4 linked regions of the Rattus norvegicus genome follow. The protein of the gene in region 1 interacts with the protein of each later gene in a biochemical or structural test. Links are inferred from orthologs where the notes say so. Each region holds a gene or a part of one and is shown in the gene's direction. Other genes may lie near its edges. The genes, in order: Nppb, Npr2, Npr1 and Npr3.

What was found.
Region 2: the proteins of Nppb (region 1) and Npr2 form a complex in vitro, tested with the Homo sapiens proteins (3 studies listed by BioGRID). The link is inferred for Rattus norvegicus from reciprocal best matches to the Homo sapiens genes NPPB and NPR2.
Region 3: the proteins of Nppb (region 1) and Npr1 form a complex in vitro, tested with the Homo sapiens proteins (2 studies listed by BioGRID). The link is inferred for Rattus norvegicus from reciprocal best matches to the Homo sapiens genes NPPB and NPR1.
Region 4: the proteins of Nppb (region 1) and Npr3 form a complex in vitro, tested with the Homo sapiens proteins (4 studies listed by BioGRID, with this or other methods). The link is inferred for Rattus norvegicus from reciprocal best matches to the Homo sapiens genes NPPB and NPR3.

The regions. Positions count from the first base shown.
Region 1 is NC_086023.1:163,698,267-163,701,929, forward strand, and holds Nppb (natriuretic peptides B precursor), read left to right. Parts: upstream 1-1,741; 5' UTR 1,742-1,798; coding exon 1,799-1,924; intron 1,925-2,146; coding exon 2,147-2,369; intron 2,370-2,822; coding exon 2,823-2,839; 3' UTR 2,840-3,044; downstream 3,045-3,663.
Region 2 is NC_086023.1:62,685,278-62,689,332, forward strand, and holds part of Npr2 (atrial natriuretic peptide receptor 2 precursor), read left to right. Parts: intron 1-1,692; coding exon 1,693-1,806; intron 1,807-2,098; coding exon 2,099-2,234; intron 2,235-2,456; coding exon 2,457-2,551; intron 2,552-2,721; coding exon 2,722-2,854; exon of another isoform or gene 2,855-2,858; intron 2,859-3,081; coding exon 3,082-3,166; intron 3,167-4,055. UniProt on the Homo sapiens protein: Receptor for the C-type natriuretic peptide NPPC/CNP hormone. Has guanylate cyclase activity upon binding of its ligand. May play a role in the regulation of skeletal growth.
Region 3 is NC_086020.1:178,236,994-178,241,048, reverse strand, and holds part of Npr1 (atrial natriuretic peptide receptor 1 precursor), read left to right. Parts: intron 1-121; coding exon 122-242; intron 243-794; coding exon 795-869; intron 870-1,079; coding exon 1,080-1,157; intron 1,158-1,456; coding exon 1,457-1,561; intron 1,562-1,773; exon of another isoform or gene 1,774-1,801; coding exon 1,802-1,873; intron 1,874-1,970; coding exon 1,971-2,127; intron 2,128-2,599; coding exon 2,600-2,755; intron 2,756-2,997; coding exon 2,998-3,166; intron 3,167-4,021; coding exon 4,022-4,055. UniProt on the Homo sapiens protein: Receptor for the atrial natriuretic peptide NPPA/ANP and the brain natriuretic peptide NPPB/BNP which are potent vasoactive hormones playing a key role in cardiovascular homeostasis.
Region 4 is NC_086020.1:62,596,770-62,599,922, reverse strand, and holds the end of Npr3 (atrial natriuretic peptide receptor 3 precursor), read left to right. Parts: intron 1-993; coding exon of another isoform or gene 994-996; coding exon 997-1,081; intron 1,082-2,047; coding exon 2,048-2,159; 3' UTR 2,160-2,255; downstream 2,256-3,153. UniProt on the Homo sapiens protein: Receptor for the natriuretic peptide hormones, binding with similar affinities atrial natriuretic peptide NPPA/ANP, brain natriuretic peptide NPPB/BNP, and C-type natriuretic peptide NPPC/CNP.

The DNA.
Region 1 (3,663 bases):
AGAGAGACAGAGAGAGAGAGAGAGAGAGAGAGAGAGAGAGAGAGATGAATTCACTGCTCTCTGCTTCCTGATGGTGGATGTTACATAACCAATGGCTTCAAGCTCCTGCCACAGGCAATGCTGATAGAAGTGTAGACAGTGGGAACCTATCTCAGAGGAGAGATGGGATCTATCAGGAACTTGGCTGGGAGCCACTTGTATGACATGTTGGCCAAGAATCTGACTTCATTCTGCCTGTGTCCTGAGAATTTACTGAAACTGATGTGGGGATGGTAGGCTAATTTGTTCCTCAGAGGGAAATTGTGTGAGAAGGGTTAGGGGTTTGAGTGCTTCGTACTGGGACTTCAAGTCTTAAAAATGCAAATTCACATACAAGAAAGCTGCAGCTAAGAATGAAGCTGGGGGTGGTTCTCTGCCCCTTGAAAACAATAGCTTAGGAGAGAGTGTGTCTCCCTTGGGTCAGAACACAGAACCTCACATAAACAGGGGTCCAAGAAGCCCCGAGGCTTGCAGAAGAACCTGACAGCTTTCTCCAAATGTGACTGGTTTGGGGCTCATGACCTTCTAACTATCCCCTTTCTCTATCTCTACCTTAACCCACTGCCACTCCTGGTCACTGCCCTTGACCAACCTGACCCTTGTGAACATAGATTCTGCAGAAGGGATAGTGACATTGGCCACACACCTGGGTGTATACCCCACAGCCTCATTTCCTCAGAGTCTCATTTCTCACCTGAGTGGGAGACTGGGTGTGCGAGGGAGAAGTCACTCATGGCTGATCAGCTGAGAGCTGGGAAGAGGCCCTTCCCACATGTCTGGTGTCTAGGCACCCTTTCTCTTTCACTCGTGGTGTGGGAGGGGACATTGGCACCTGGAGATGCCCCAGAAGGCATTGCTGTGTGACCTTGTCTTTGGGCCAGGATGAAAATTCTATCCTAATCAGCTCTCTTTTGTTAAGGGGCTGGAGTTCCAGAAGTTCCTTGCCATTTACCAGCTTTTAGTCATTTGAATATTGGAGAGTGAGCATCTTTGAGCTGAAATCTTCACAGGGTTTTGAGGGGTGGGGAGTACTGGAAGGTGGGGCAGGGTATCAGAGTGGTTGCGTGAGCCACCTAGCTCCTTCTGGCCTGGAGATCAGTGGAGAAGAGAACTTGAAAGTTTGTGTGAAGGTCACGTGTGGTGATCAGAACCATGGACAGCTACCAGAGTGCCCGGAAGTGGTGCAGCCCGGCCCTACAGCTAGATGCTTGGTAGCCGGGCAGGGCCTGGATTACAGGTTCGAGGACACTCTCCCAGAGAGGCTGGTGATGGTGGGTGCTAACTGGAAGTGTTTTTGATGAGTCACCCCATAAGCCCCACACCCGCCCCAGGCTGGGAAAACTGGGGTTCTCCCTGTCATTTCCAATACGGGTGGGGCACGGTATTAAAGGCCCTCAGGTTTTGCATGATAGAAGGGAGCAGGAAACAAGGACCTGTTAGTGTCCCCCACACACTCCCACCCTAGCCCAGCCCATGCCTATACAAGGCCTGCGGTTTATAGCCTCCACCCACAACGAACACTCCACAGAGGCACAGAGGGGTGAATTCTCAGGTCCTGAGCTCAGCAGGCAGGAATGTGTCTGATAAATCAGAGATAACCCCACCCCTACTCCATGAGAAGGGCTGGCCGGACACCCAGCCCCAGGATAAAAGGCAGAGGCACCGTTGCTGAGAGGCTAGTGCACGCGAGCTGCTTGCGGAGGCGAGACAAGAGAGAGCAGGACACCATCGCAGCTGCCTGGCCCATCACTTCTGCAGCATGGATCTCCAGAAGGTGCTGCCCCAGATGATTCTGCTCCTGCTTTTCCTTAATCTGTCGCCGCTGGGAGGTCACTCCCATCCCCTGGGAAGTCCTAGCCAGTCTCCAGAACAATCCACGATGCAGGTGAGCACCGAGGGTCTGCATAGGGAGATGGAGCCTGCCTGAAGGGTTTTGGGCAGCAGCAATGAAAAGACCTCATGTCCTTTGGGAATTAACCACGCGAGAGTCAGGAAACGGAAAGATTGGGCAGCAGATCCCTTAACCGACAGGCACTGTGGAAGGGTGGGGGAGCCAGGTGTGTATGTGTGTGTGTGTCTGAGGTCTGGGCTTCCCAATTCGTCACAGAAGCTGCTGGAGCTGATAAGAGAAAAGTCAGAGGAAATGGCTCAGAGACAGCTCTCAAAGGACCAAGGCCCTACAAAAGAACTTCTAAAAAGAGTCCTTAGGTCTCAAGACAGCGCCTTCCGGATCCAGGAGAGACTTCGAAATTCCAAGATGGCACATAGTTCAAGCTGCTTTGGGCAGAAGATAGACCGGATTGGCGCAGTCAGTCGTTTGGGCTGTGACGGTGAGCACCTACCTTGCCGCTTCCCTGCAAAGCTGCACGCATCCCGTTCCCCTGCATGCCGCCCTCAGAGGCCCCTTGGTTTGCTCTCAGACATACTTGCACAGCCTGCCTCTACCTTACCGACAGTCTTCAAGACCAAGGCAGTCTGTCAGGAAGTCTCACATGGGTACTTCATTACACCGTCCCAGGTGAGCACCTACCTCCTTCAGAGGTGTCACAGGCTTCCCAGGGAACAGACTGCCTGATGTCTGATCACTCTGAGCATCTCCCCTCCGTCTTCACCAAACTGAATTATCCGAGGCAAAGGGCAGGCCCAGTGAGATAGCTTTTCCCAGAGCCGTTAAACTTCGACATCATCTGGGAACCAAAGATGGGGGTGCGGTGTGGCAGGGGAAGCTCAGCTCCTGCCTCAGTTTCACTCCCCAGTCTGACACTGGTTTCTCCTCCCCACAGGGCTGAGGTTGTTTTAGGAAGACCTCCTGGCTGCAGACTCTGGCTTCTGACTCTGCCTGCGGCTCTTCTTTCCCCAGCTCTGGGACCACCTCTCAAGTGATCCTGTTTATTTATTTGTTTATTTATTTATTTTTATGTTGCTGATTTTCTACAAGACTGTTTCTTATCTTCCAGCACAAACTTGCCACAGTGTAATAAACATAGCCTATTTCTTGCTTTTGGAAAAGGATTTGTGTCCATGAGTTTCAATCCAATCCTCATCTCTTTTACTTTGCTTTTGTTTACTTTGGCTTCAGGCAGGGTCTCTCTATATCATAGACCTGGCTCTCGGGGTAACTCACTCTGTAGACCAGGCTGGCCTCAGACTCACAGAGATCCACCTGCCTCTCCCAACAGAGTGCAGGGATTTAGGGTATGTGCCACCACTGCCCAGCTGAAACGCTGTCCTTCCAATGCCATGTGTCACTTAAGCGCAGCTGAGGGCTAAAGGTCCCCATGATCAGTAAGGTCATGATTGTCACCCGCATTTTTTAAGTGAGGAAACTGAAAATCAGAAAAGCCGGGAATCCTGGGACATGAGGCACAGCTGGCACATCTGCCCTCCCTGGCTTGAGCAGAGGTCTGCACAGTGTCTAGTGGAGTGAGAGGGGAACAAGAGGTAGCTCTTCCTGCGATTTCTCATTTCCCTCCAGTGTGCACTCAAGGTTGTGGATGTCTGATGAAAGCAATGAGGATTTGTTTTAAAGTGAGGTTGAAAGAGTAGCTTAGTTTCCAAGCATCCATGAGTCATCTTCAGACGCTTCCAATGCAGACTCAATGAGTTCCTAGAACAGTTGGTGTG
Region 2 (4,055 bases), about 100 Mb from region 1:
TTCCTGCCAGCTTAGGGGTGAATCTTCAACCTGCAGAGTTAGGGTGTCTAGAAATGTTAAAGCGGACTATCAGTCTTTGTTGAAGTACAAATTGTGCTACTCTGATGTTTTTTCGACTCTTGGCTTGACCATGTCACTTGTCAACACTACCATACATCTCTATTGGAACAGGTGTTAGTGAAGGAACCCTTTTAGCCTGACCCCAGGGGCACTTCCTGTCTTCCCTCCCCCTAGGGCTTCCCTTCTCTTTTTCTCCTTTCCTTTCTCTTGCCTGGGTGTGAATATTAAAAGGGTACCATCAAGCATGCCAGTCCCATAGTAAGAAAACTCCGGTTTAATATGACGACTGCATGCTAGAAATGGATTTTATGATTTCTTTCCTGGAACAAATTGATAGATCACAGGTGATATATTGAGTATGTCTGTGTGGTCCACATGTGCTTTCTGTGCTGAGAAGAAGCAAAGCTGGTAGAAATGGCCAGATTTTGAGATGGGGGTCTTGCTATGGAGCAGTGATTGGTCTGGAACTCACTGTGTAGACAAGGCTGGCCTTGTTCTTTTTTTTTTTTTTTTTGGTTCTTCCCCCCCCCCCCAAGCTGGGGACCGAACCCAGGGCCTTGCGCTTCCTAGGCAAGCGCTCTACCACTGAGCTAAATCCCCAACCCGCTGGCCTTGTTCTTATAGCCTAACTTCTGCCTCAGCCTCTTGAGTTCTGAGATAACAGATGTGAGCCAGCATACCCAGCTTGAAATGGCGGATTTTGATCTATTGATTTACACAGAGTCGTATGTCACAAAGGATATTGAATTGATCTCTTACACTGAGTTGCAAGTCCAGTTTCCTGTCAGAGCAGTCTCATTTAGCTGCGTGGTCCCAGGTTGGATACCCCTTACAGCTACGGAAGGGGGTATATGAGACTCAAAGGAGCTAGTCAGGCAGTTTAATGAGGGACAGGGATGTGGTGATTCGTGTCAGTCAAGTGCATGTGTGGCTGAAACCATCATTTGTGTGTCTGTGCAGTGTGTGTGGGCACGTGGCTCACATGACACACGTGCCTCTCGGTGAGCATGCTGTCTACAGTGGATGTTTCCTGTGTGCACAGTAAGTTAAATTCATGTTTCTCAGAGATGGAATCACCTTCTCAAAGCATTTCTCTCAGGGTTTGAAATCTAATTCACTGAGAGAGTCACTCTGAACCGGTGACCCGCTGTGGGAAAAGCCAACTTTTAGTGGATGACACCATCAGCATTTAATGCTGCTGGGACGGAACTGTAGCCCTGGCTGGGATGGAACTCACCAGATCTGCCCACCTCTGCCGCCTGAGTGCTGGCATCAAGGGCGTGTGTCACCAACGCCTGGCCACAGAGTGGTGGTTGTTCTTGATAGTGGTGGGTACCTTGAAAGTGTGGGGCAGAGGAGTGCCCATGAGAGTGACAGCCTGGCAGGAGGCCTGATGCTGGAAGGGAGGCAGGGAGGTCGATGGACTGAGTTTGTAGATGGAGTTGGTTTCATCCTACGGACACGTTTCCAGAGCCAGCCCTACCTGTCTTTCATAGAGGGGCGCCACTACTCATTTTCATACGCACCCCAGAGTTTGGCGCGCTCCAGAACCCCTCCCTCGTGCATGTGTTACCCGCGTGTGGTTTTAGCCAGTTCTCCTATGCGATCTCTTCCCCGTGTACTGTGGTGCAGACTGTCCTGGTGATCACGTACCGAGAGCCCCCGAATCCCGAGTATCAGGAGTTCCAGAACCGCCTGCTGATCAGAGCCCGGGAAGACTTCGGCGTGGAGCTGGCCCCATCCCTGGTGAGTAGATCTCTGAGAGTCACAACAGGCTGTGAGGAAGGGATTTCTCCTGGAGTCCTTGATCATGGAGCAAGCCCCATTTCAGGCTGTCATTTCCATCCAGGATTTTACCCTTCCAACCGTGGGACTGACCCTTGGACCAACCCTGGGTCCGGGTGGATGGGGAGGGCATGGTAGGGGTGGGAGGAGGGCGGTAAGCTGAGAAAGTGGGGAGGCACTGGGACAGGGCAGGAGTAGAAGAGAGAACGGGAAGGGGGCATTTGGAGAGCGCTGCTGAAGTTGCTGTCCTCAGATGAACCTCATTGCGGGCTGCTTCTATGATGGAATCCTGCTCTATGCCCAAGTCCTGAATGAGACAATACAGGAAGGGGGCACCCGGGAAGATGGACTTCGAATTGTGGAGAAGATGCAGGGACGAAGATACCATGGTAATGAAGGGCAGGGAGTGGAGGCCTGGGGACTGACAGCAGGCTTAGGAGTGCGGTGGGCAGAAGAAATACTCCAGGGTGCTGCAGGGAGAGTCAGTGAGGGTGGACACTTACGAAGAACCAGTGTGGGGAGAGACTCTGAGACAACGAGATGGTAGGACAGGAGGAGAGAGTGGGCCAGGGTTAGATCTCAAAAGTGAGGGGCACCCTCTTTTATCTTAGGTGTAACTGGACTGGTTGTTATGGACAAGAACAATGACAGAGAGACTGATTTCGTCCTGTGGGCCATGGGAGACTTGGAGTCTGGCGACTTTCAGGTGACGGGGGAGAGGACAGGGAGGAGGGATTGGCCCTAAGATCCAGTGGGGACAGAATCATCGGCTCTGGGGGACAGGAGCTTGCTTCCTGGGCTGGGCCTTCCGGACGGTGGGGTGTCAGGGAGAAGGCTGGGGCAGGCCTGTGGGCCCAGCGCTCTGCTTCCTCACAGCCTGCAGCCCATTACTCAGGAGCTGAGAAGCAGATTTGGTGGACAGGCCGGCCAATTCCCTGGGTGAAGGGGGCCCCACCTTTGGACAACCCCCCCTGTGCCTTTGACTTGGACGACCCATCCTGTGATAAAAGTGGGTGTGTGCAGGGACTGGGAGCAGTCCCCCCTCTTACCCCGCCCCCGCGCTCTGCCCCTTCCTCACTGACACCCATTCCCACTCCTGGCTGTGTATTATCTGTGTCTGCCGCTCTCTTCTCTGTCCCTCAGGAAAGCTCTGTACCTCCTGCACCTGTCTCTTTGCCCTTGGGCCCCCTCCAGTCTTTCTCAGGGTCTCTCTGTCTCTCTCTCCTTCTCCCTCAGCTCCACTTTCCACTCTGGCAATTGTGGCCCTGGGCACGGGAATCACTTTCATCATGTTTGGTGTTTCCAGCTTCCTAATTTTCCGGTGAGTTCTGGGTTTTCCTACTCCGTGTGTCCCTCTTGCTACATGGCCTCTGGCTGAGGCAGGTGTCCCTGTTGTGTGGCTGGCAAGTCTCCCAACCTGGTGTGGGATTCTGGGACTAGCAGCTTTCTCTCTGGCCTTTGGATTTGGTTGCCCTTCATCCTAGGGATTTATTTTGCTTTGGTTTGTAACCTGGGTAAATGAATTGTTTTGTTCTTGTTGCCGTTGTGTTTGTTTTGAGATAAGGTCTTGCTAAATAGCCTAGACTGGCCATGCACTCAAGATTCTACTTCCCCACACTCACGGACGTGCGTCATGGTGCCTTGCTTGAATACTGGGATTTTGTTTGAGATAAAGTTTCACTGTAGAACTGGCCTGTCTGGAAACCACTGTGGAGACCAGGCTGCCCCTGAAATTCTCAGGGATTTGCCTACCTCTGTCTTTGAAGTGCTGGGATTAAAAATCTCCTCTACCGTGCCTAGCTCTGAATTCGAATTTTTAAAAAAATTGTTTCTATTTATATCTCTCCTGTGTAAATGTATGCCACCCACACACATGTATGGGTGCCTATAGAGGCCAGAAGAAACCCATCAGCTCTTCTGGAGCCTAAGTTACAGGTGGTTGTGAGCTGTCCCAGGATGGGTGCTTGAAATTGAACTTAGGTCTCCTGGAAGAGCAACAGGTGCCCCTGACCACTTAGGCTCGTTTCAGCCCTGGAGTACTGATTTTGGGTAGAGTTAGGGTCAAAGGTGAATTTCTATGCACTGGTTGTGTGTCGTCTCCCCCCCCCCTTCTCCTTCCTCACCTCATTCCCACTGAAGTGCAAGGCATTTTCACTTGGGAAATCTGAGACCAAGTCACCAAAAAATTCTATGTGTGGTGAGGGTGCACG
Region 3 (4,055 bases), on another chromosome or scaffold:
TCTCAGCTCTGAGAACAGGACTCCCTCAAGCATCTCTTAGCATGTGGGATGTGCTGGGACTCTGAGGGGCTATGGAGCACCTGCCAGGGGTAGGGGCTCAGGTGCAGGCTTCACATTCCAGGAAGATGCAGCTGGAAAAGGAGCTGGTCTCAGAGTTGTGGCGGGTGCGCTGGGAGGACTTGCAGCCCAGCAGCCTGGAGAGGCATCTTCGGAGCGCTGGCAGCCGGCTGACCCTGAGTGGGGTGAGGACACCATTGTCTCTGTAGGATGGGAATAGCTGAGTCCCAAGGGCTGATGAGTTAGTAGAAGCTGCTTCTAGATGAGGTGACTCACCTGGACCCAGGACTTGGGAGGTTAATATGGAAAGATTGCTGTAGGTCTGAGGCAAGCCTGTGCTACAGAATGGGACCCCGTCTTGTAAAACCAAAACCAAACAAAAGAATAGGTCTACCCCCAGTTCTGCCTTCACTTGCTTACCCTGACATTGTCTTAGATGAGGGTTATAGTTACAGCCTCTGTAACAAGGCTCTCTCAAAGCTCGAAGGAAGATAGTCTAAGTAAATACATAAAGGAGGGTGGGAGCTAGCATTGGTGACTCACACCTGCAATCAATCCTAGCCTGGGAGGGTGAGTCTGGGGCACTGCTACAAGTTCCAGGGCAGCCTGAGCTAAAGAGTAAGACCCTATCTCTGGAGGGTGACACAGATAAGGGACAGTGTGACTGAACCTAGAACTTCCAGGATGCAGAATGACCTCTGGGCTGGCCAATAGATGACTATTGTTTCTCTCTGTAGCGAGGCTCCAATTATGGCTCCCTGCTAACCACCGAGGGCCAGTTCCAAGTCTTTGCCAAGACAGCATACTATAAGGTAGGTCTGGGGAAAGATTGCTGATCTTGGGCCCCTGGTGGAGTGTGGTCTGAAGAATAAGAGATGGTAGCCTGCCAGGGAACAGGGGTAGTCCCAGGGCAAGGATGGGCTTTTAGAAGCAGGTAGAGAACTGCTGTCATGGATGGGTTTCAGAAGCAGATTGGGGTCTCGGGCCATCTCCTGAGTAATAAGTCTCCATTTCCTGCTCAGGGCAACCTTGTGGCTGTGAAACGTGTGAACCGGAAACGCATTGAGTTGACACGAAAAGTCCTGTTTGAACTTAAACATGTAATTAAGGGGAGCAAGGTGGTGGCTTGGGAAGGGCTTGGTGGGTACTCCAAGAGAGTAAGCCAACTGATTATGGAGGGATCTATACAGCTGGGATGGGCCCATGAGTCTTGAGGGTAGGAAGGAGATCGGTCATAAGATGAGAGATCACTGGGCCCTCCAGGCCCCAGATGGGTTGTCCTCACATGTACAGGAAATAAAGGGTTAGGGAGCAAATTCTGAGAAAGAATGGTAACAAACATGTGACTTGGTGAGGTTTGAAGCCTCTGCCAGGGCCTTGATGCTGCCCCAATCTGCAGATGCGGGATGTGCAGAATGAGCACTTGACAAGATTTGTGGGTGCTTGTACCGACCCCCCCAACATCTGTATCCTCACAGAGTACTGTCCCCGTGGAAGCCTACAGGTGAGTGGGACAAGAAGAAGTGGGACAGTGAAAAAGCCTAGGTTCTAGCCCTGGCTCTTACCCCATTGACCATGAGCCCAGATAAGCCCCCTCTTTGTGGCCATGCTTGGCCCTCTCTGTAAATGGGAGTTGGGGGCTGGCATGGCACTACAGTAAATCCAAGTGTCCAAGCTTACACCAGTAGCTCCCTTGTACCCTCCTCCTACTCCCAGGGGGGTCTGACTCTTGCTGCCCCAGCAGGACATTCTAGAGAATGAGAGTATCACCCTGGACTGGATGTTTCGGTACTCGCTCACCAATGACATTGTCAAGGTGAGTCCAGAGGAGATCACTGGATGCCAGGCAAGAGATGGGCATGGTTGGAAGTCATACTCATGTCTAAGCCCTCTTGCCTTCCTAAATGTTCCAGGGAATGCTCTTTCTACACAATGGGGCCATTTGTTCCCATGGGAACCTCAAGTCATCCAACTGTGTGGTAGACGGGCGCTTCGTGTTAAAGATCACAGACTACGGTCTTGAGAGCTTCAGAGACCCGGAGCCAGAGCAAGGGCACACCCTCTTTGCCAGTGAGTCTGACTCTTTTTTTTTTTTTTTTAAGATTTATTTATTATATATAAGTACACTGTAGCTGTCTTCAGACACAACAGAAGAGGGCATCAAATCTCATTATGGATGGTTGTGAGCCACCATGTGGTTGCTGGGATTTGAACTCAGGACCTCCGGAAGAGCAGTCGGTGCTCTTAACCACTGAGCCATCTCTCCAGCCCTGTGAGTCTGACTCTTGACCCTAGGATCTCTGCTGCCAGCACAGCTGAGAAGGGACACTGAGATCTAGCCTCTGCAAGACTTGAGTATATCTCCCATCTCCATGCTCAACCTTCATTGGTTAAAAAGGAAGTCAGACTAAGTGGTCACTGGTTCTCAGCACTGTGCTGTGTCCACAGGAGTCCTAGCCAATGTCTTTCTTTTATTGTAGCATTTCCTATTAGAGTGTAAAATCCCTTATCCCTTCTATGACTCCTGACCTCTGATCCACAGAAAAATTGTGGACGGCACCTGAGCTCCTGCGAATGGCTTCGCCACCTGCCCGTGGCTCCCAAGCTGGGGATGTGTACAGCTTTGGTATCATCCTGCAGGAGATTGCCCTAAGAAGTGGGGTCTTCTATGTGGAAGGTTTGGACCTCAGCCCAAAAGGTGAGGATCACATGGCCTATATCCCAGCTGGTCTTGACGAATCCACCTCCAGAGAAGGAACCTCTCCAAACACCCCTACTGTTCCTTCTGGAGTGGGGAGTCAGCCACTCGCTGTCCTTTGCGCCATGGCTGCCAGTGACCAGCTCACCCCTGTGCTCTGGTCTGGACTCGCCCCACCTGCCTGTCCCAGCCGGTTGCCCAACTAGGCTTGCTGCTCTTCAGCGCATCCCCCTTCCACACAGAGATCATTGAGCGTGTGACTCGGGGTGAGCAGCCCCCATTCCGACCCTCCATGGATCTGCAGAGCCACCTGGAGGAACTGGGGCAGCTGATGCAGCGGTGCTGGGCAGAGGACCCACAGGAGCGGCCACCCTTTCAGCAGATCCGCCTGGCGCTGCGCAAGTTCAACAAGTTAGTGGTCTCTCCCCACTACAGGCACTATAAATCCCACACTTAAATTTTTTTCTACAGTGGCAGCCTACTGCAGCTCTTCACAGCCTCATAGATGTCTGCACAGCTGTATGATTTGGTTGTCCCAACAGCTCCCACCATTCACTACTCCTTCCTCTGCCAACATTGACATCCCACACCCTTTCCTGCCCACAGCCCTGTACTGACCCCCAGACTTAAGATAAATAAGACTATATGGGCCAGATGCTCCAATCCTTTCCCATTTCTTCCCATAGTCTCAGTCCTGCTCAAAAGCTCCTACCCCAGTCCTTGTGTCTCTTTTTTCTAGTATGCCCACTGGCTGGTTCTCTCAGTCATGTTTCTCTGCTGCCTGTCATCGTCCTCAGCTCTCCACCTCCTTCAAACTCATTTGTGATCAATAAGAATAAATATAGTATCCAGCATGGGGACTGGAGTGATGGCTTAACGGTTAAGAGCACTGACTGCTCTTCCAGAGGTCCTGAGTTCAATTCCCAGCAACCACATGGTGGCTCCTAACCATCTGAATGCCCTCTTCTGGTGTGTCTGAAGACCACGACAGTGTGCTCACATACATGAAATAAATAAATAAATCTTAAAAAAAAAAAAAAAAAGGTACCCAGCTGGGCATAGAAGCAGGTGGATATCTATGGGTTCAAGGCCAGCTGTTCCTTTCACCTAAAATACCTGATAATGTGAACAGATCCAGCTATAACTACTTAGAGAGACCGTGTCTCTAAGGGTGGGGCCGGGCATGGTGAGTGCCTGAGTGTGGGCACTGCCAGGCAGGACCAGTCATCTCATTTCATCTGCCCCCCTGTACCCCACGGCCCTCAGGGAGAACAGCAGCAACATCCTGGACAACCTGCTG
Region 4 (3,153 bases), on another chromosome or scaffold:
TATGAGAAAGAATTAAGGAGAAAGCGTGTTGACTATATAATTGCTAGGTCTGGATCCCACATCTCACTTTCCTTCTTGCCAATTTGGGGACCCTAGTAGACTCCCTACAACCTGCCAACTCTCACATTTCCCACATGTAAAGGGAATTTACCCAGCTGTCACCCGAGGAGCCAAGGAGTCCATGCACTGCAAGCTTATTCTAAACTCTGAAAGGAAAATAGCTGTTGACTTTTTGGGAACTGAGATCCTACTGAGAAGGATTTAAGGTTTACATTTTCACAAAGCTATATAGGACATTTGGGATGGAACTCTGGCTCTGGTGAGAGAACATCTGAAAACAGAATACTGACCCAGTGCAATTTCCCCCGGACTTTTGAAGTGTCACCATTGAAGTGTCACTGTCACCCACCTGAGGGAGACAAGTGCAGGCCATCGCCTCTGTCCATTCATGCATCTTCGACTTTAAACTCAAAACCAGGATGGTTATGTCTGAGATCTTCAGTTTGCAGCTTTCATCAAGTGCATCTTGAGCCTGTCTCTTTCTCCATCTTTTATTCTCTTTATCTATCTTTTCTCCCATCCCCTTTGTTCCCTCCATTCTCCTTCCCTGTCATAGATCTTGCTATGTGGTTCAGGCTGGCTTCAAACTTGAGAGCCTCTGCCTCATCTTCCCAAGTGCTAGGCTGACTGGTGTTTGTCCCGGGTCCAGTTTTGAACTTGTTCTGACCTTGGTCTGTTCACTCTCACGCCACAGTGCGTTTATTTAGTATTTTCTGAAAACCTTTTCTCAGAACATTAGACATACATATTTTACATTATATATTTCATATAATATATAAATATTATATATAAATCATGTACAATATGTTACAATATATATTATACATATATCGCAAAGAGGAAAATTAGTTTCAAATGGGAGATGAGCAAAAATCAAAAGTACTTTTACTCATTTCTCAAAATGAGCTCTGATTATTGATGTTTCTTTTCAAGCAGGTGGCCTAGAAGAATCAGCAGTGACAGGAATTGTTGTGGGGGCCCTACTAGGTGCTGGTTTGCTAATGGCCTTCTACTTTTTCAGGTAGGGACTGTTTATGGAGTTAAAATTCACTCTGCCCCTTTATGCCTTTGTCTCCTGTCTTTGTATAACGCTCCGTGTGATTGGCCCACACCCTTCTTTTAAACAAGAAGGATGATGGTTAAATTACTAAAGCGGTTCTTTGGCTCCATCTTGGGTTTGGCAGGCAGTGAGTTTTGGATTCCTATGGCACTTGCTAGAAAGTGGTTGGGATCCCTGGATCATTGATCTATTTTTGAGAGTCCCTTCGACCTATCAAATACAATCACAAGGAGGAGATCTGGACAAAGAATGAACTTCCTATTCTCAGGCTTCCTTTGATTTAGAACAAGTTCCCTTGAAAAGAGCTCCCGGTGGTCTGTGATCCCTGCAGTGTGTCCTGTATTTGGAGAAGTCACATTCGTAGCTGTTGTTGTGTCTTAACGTCAAGGCTCATAAACTTACAATGTACACATGTGTGCAAGATTTCAGTCCTTTGCTGCAGTGACAGTGGCCCATCCTGTTGTCATCTTCGGTAGTTGAATTCATGGGTCGTTATAAATCGTCATGGTTTATTTGTAATGTTTCTTCATTTTTGCATGGAGATGTATGTCCGAGTGTATGTAGCTCTTTGTGGGAACAATCGAGTTCCTGTCCCTTTAGTCACAGTACACTTAGTCTGATCTTTATCTGGGGTCATATCCTGGGAGTCAAGCTGAGATTCTGGGGCAGAATAGATAAGGCTCCTAGGAAGAAGGGGAAGGCTTGTCCTCTGGCATTTCAGAAAGCATGCCAATTTTCCTCCCTGAATAAGGACATGATGCCTTGGGGGCACACTACTTTAATCTCCAACCAGGGTTTCATATTGTGTCACTAGTCATTTATCAAACCTAACCCAGATGTCCCTGGAGGGCACTCTTTGTAAGAGGAACCATAGTATTTTATAGTCAAGTGAGGTTTTATTATTACATTTGTTTTGCCTTTACCCAGGAAGAAATACAGAATAACCATTGAGAGGCGAAATCACCAAGAAGAAAGCAACATTGGGAAACATCGAGAGCTGCGGGAAGATTCCATCAGATCACATTTTTCGGTGGCTTAAAAGAAATGCCCCCCTTGCTTTGTCTGCTTGAGATTCCTTAAAGAGATAGTTGAAGGACAGACATCAATGGAACAGAAAGGGTGTTCTTGGAGAATTCATTCTTTTAAGCAGTAGTCATTTCATTTTAAATTTTCTTTAGAAGCTCAGGAATGATTATTAATCACTATCTGCCTTCTGGTCTTTCATCTCATGGCAAACAGATATAATTATATAACGTAATCCTGTTAAGTGTTCTGGCTGTTGGAGGGGCATCGGAGTAGATTTATGTCTCGAAAGTCTGGAGTCTCCATATCTTGATTGCTTTGGGGGTATTTCACACAAGGTTATAAAAATGTGGTTTTTCCAAAATGAAATGTTTTGTAGCTAGAATAAAACAATTTTTACAAGTAGAATATTCTTGGAAAGAATTTAACACCCAATAAGAGGACAAAGGAATGAGAGAAATCTCAAGGCTGGGAATGCATGCCCCTCTCTCTGGAGTTGGGGAACAGGTTTGTGGTTGCCGAGGGCTTCGTCCAACGTCCACATTCAGGTCTGACTTCATATCTCAAGAAAGGATCCTCCCTGTCTCTTTTAGTGTCTCATCAAAGCTACTCTGGAAATCTGTAAATACTAGTGAGTTAGGTGGATTTATATAAAAAAATCAGTCTAAAATGTTTCTTTTATGATGTAAAAAAAAGCCCTACTTCATACTAACATTTTATTTTTAAGTATTTTAATCTTATATTTTGGTATTAGAAATGTGTCTATTTTTTCATTTTGAAGATTAAATTTCACTTATATTTTAAGAGCATGGAGGAGGCGTGTGACAAATCTGTGGTGAGGGAGGACTGGTTCTCTTTTTCTCTGCTGTTCTCTTTCTTGGCTGTGGCTAATACTAACCTCGCTGCTCTGACTGAAGATGGGGAGAAGTCTGTTGAGCTTACAGTATCTGAAGCATTAGATTGATGTTAAGCTGTTGTTCATTTTCGACCGCTTTAAAATGTATGTTATT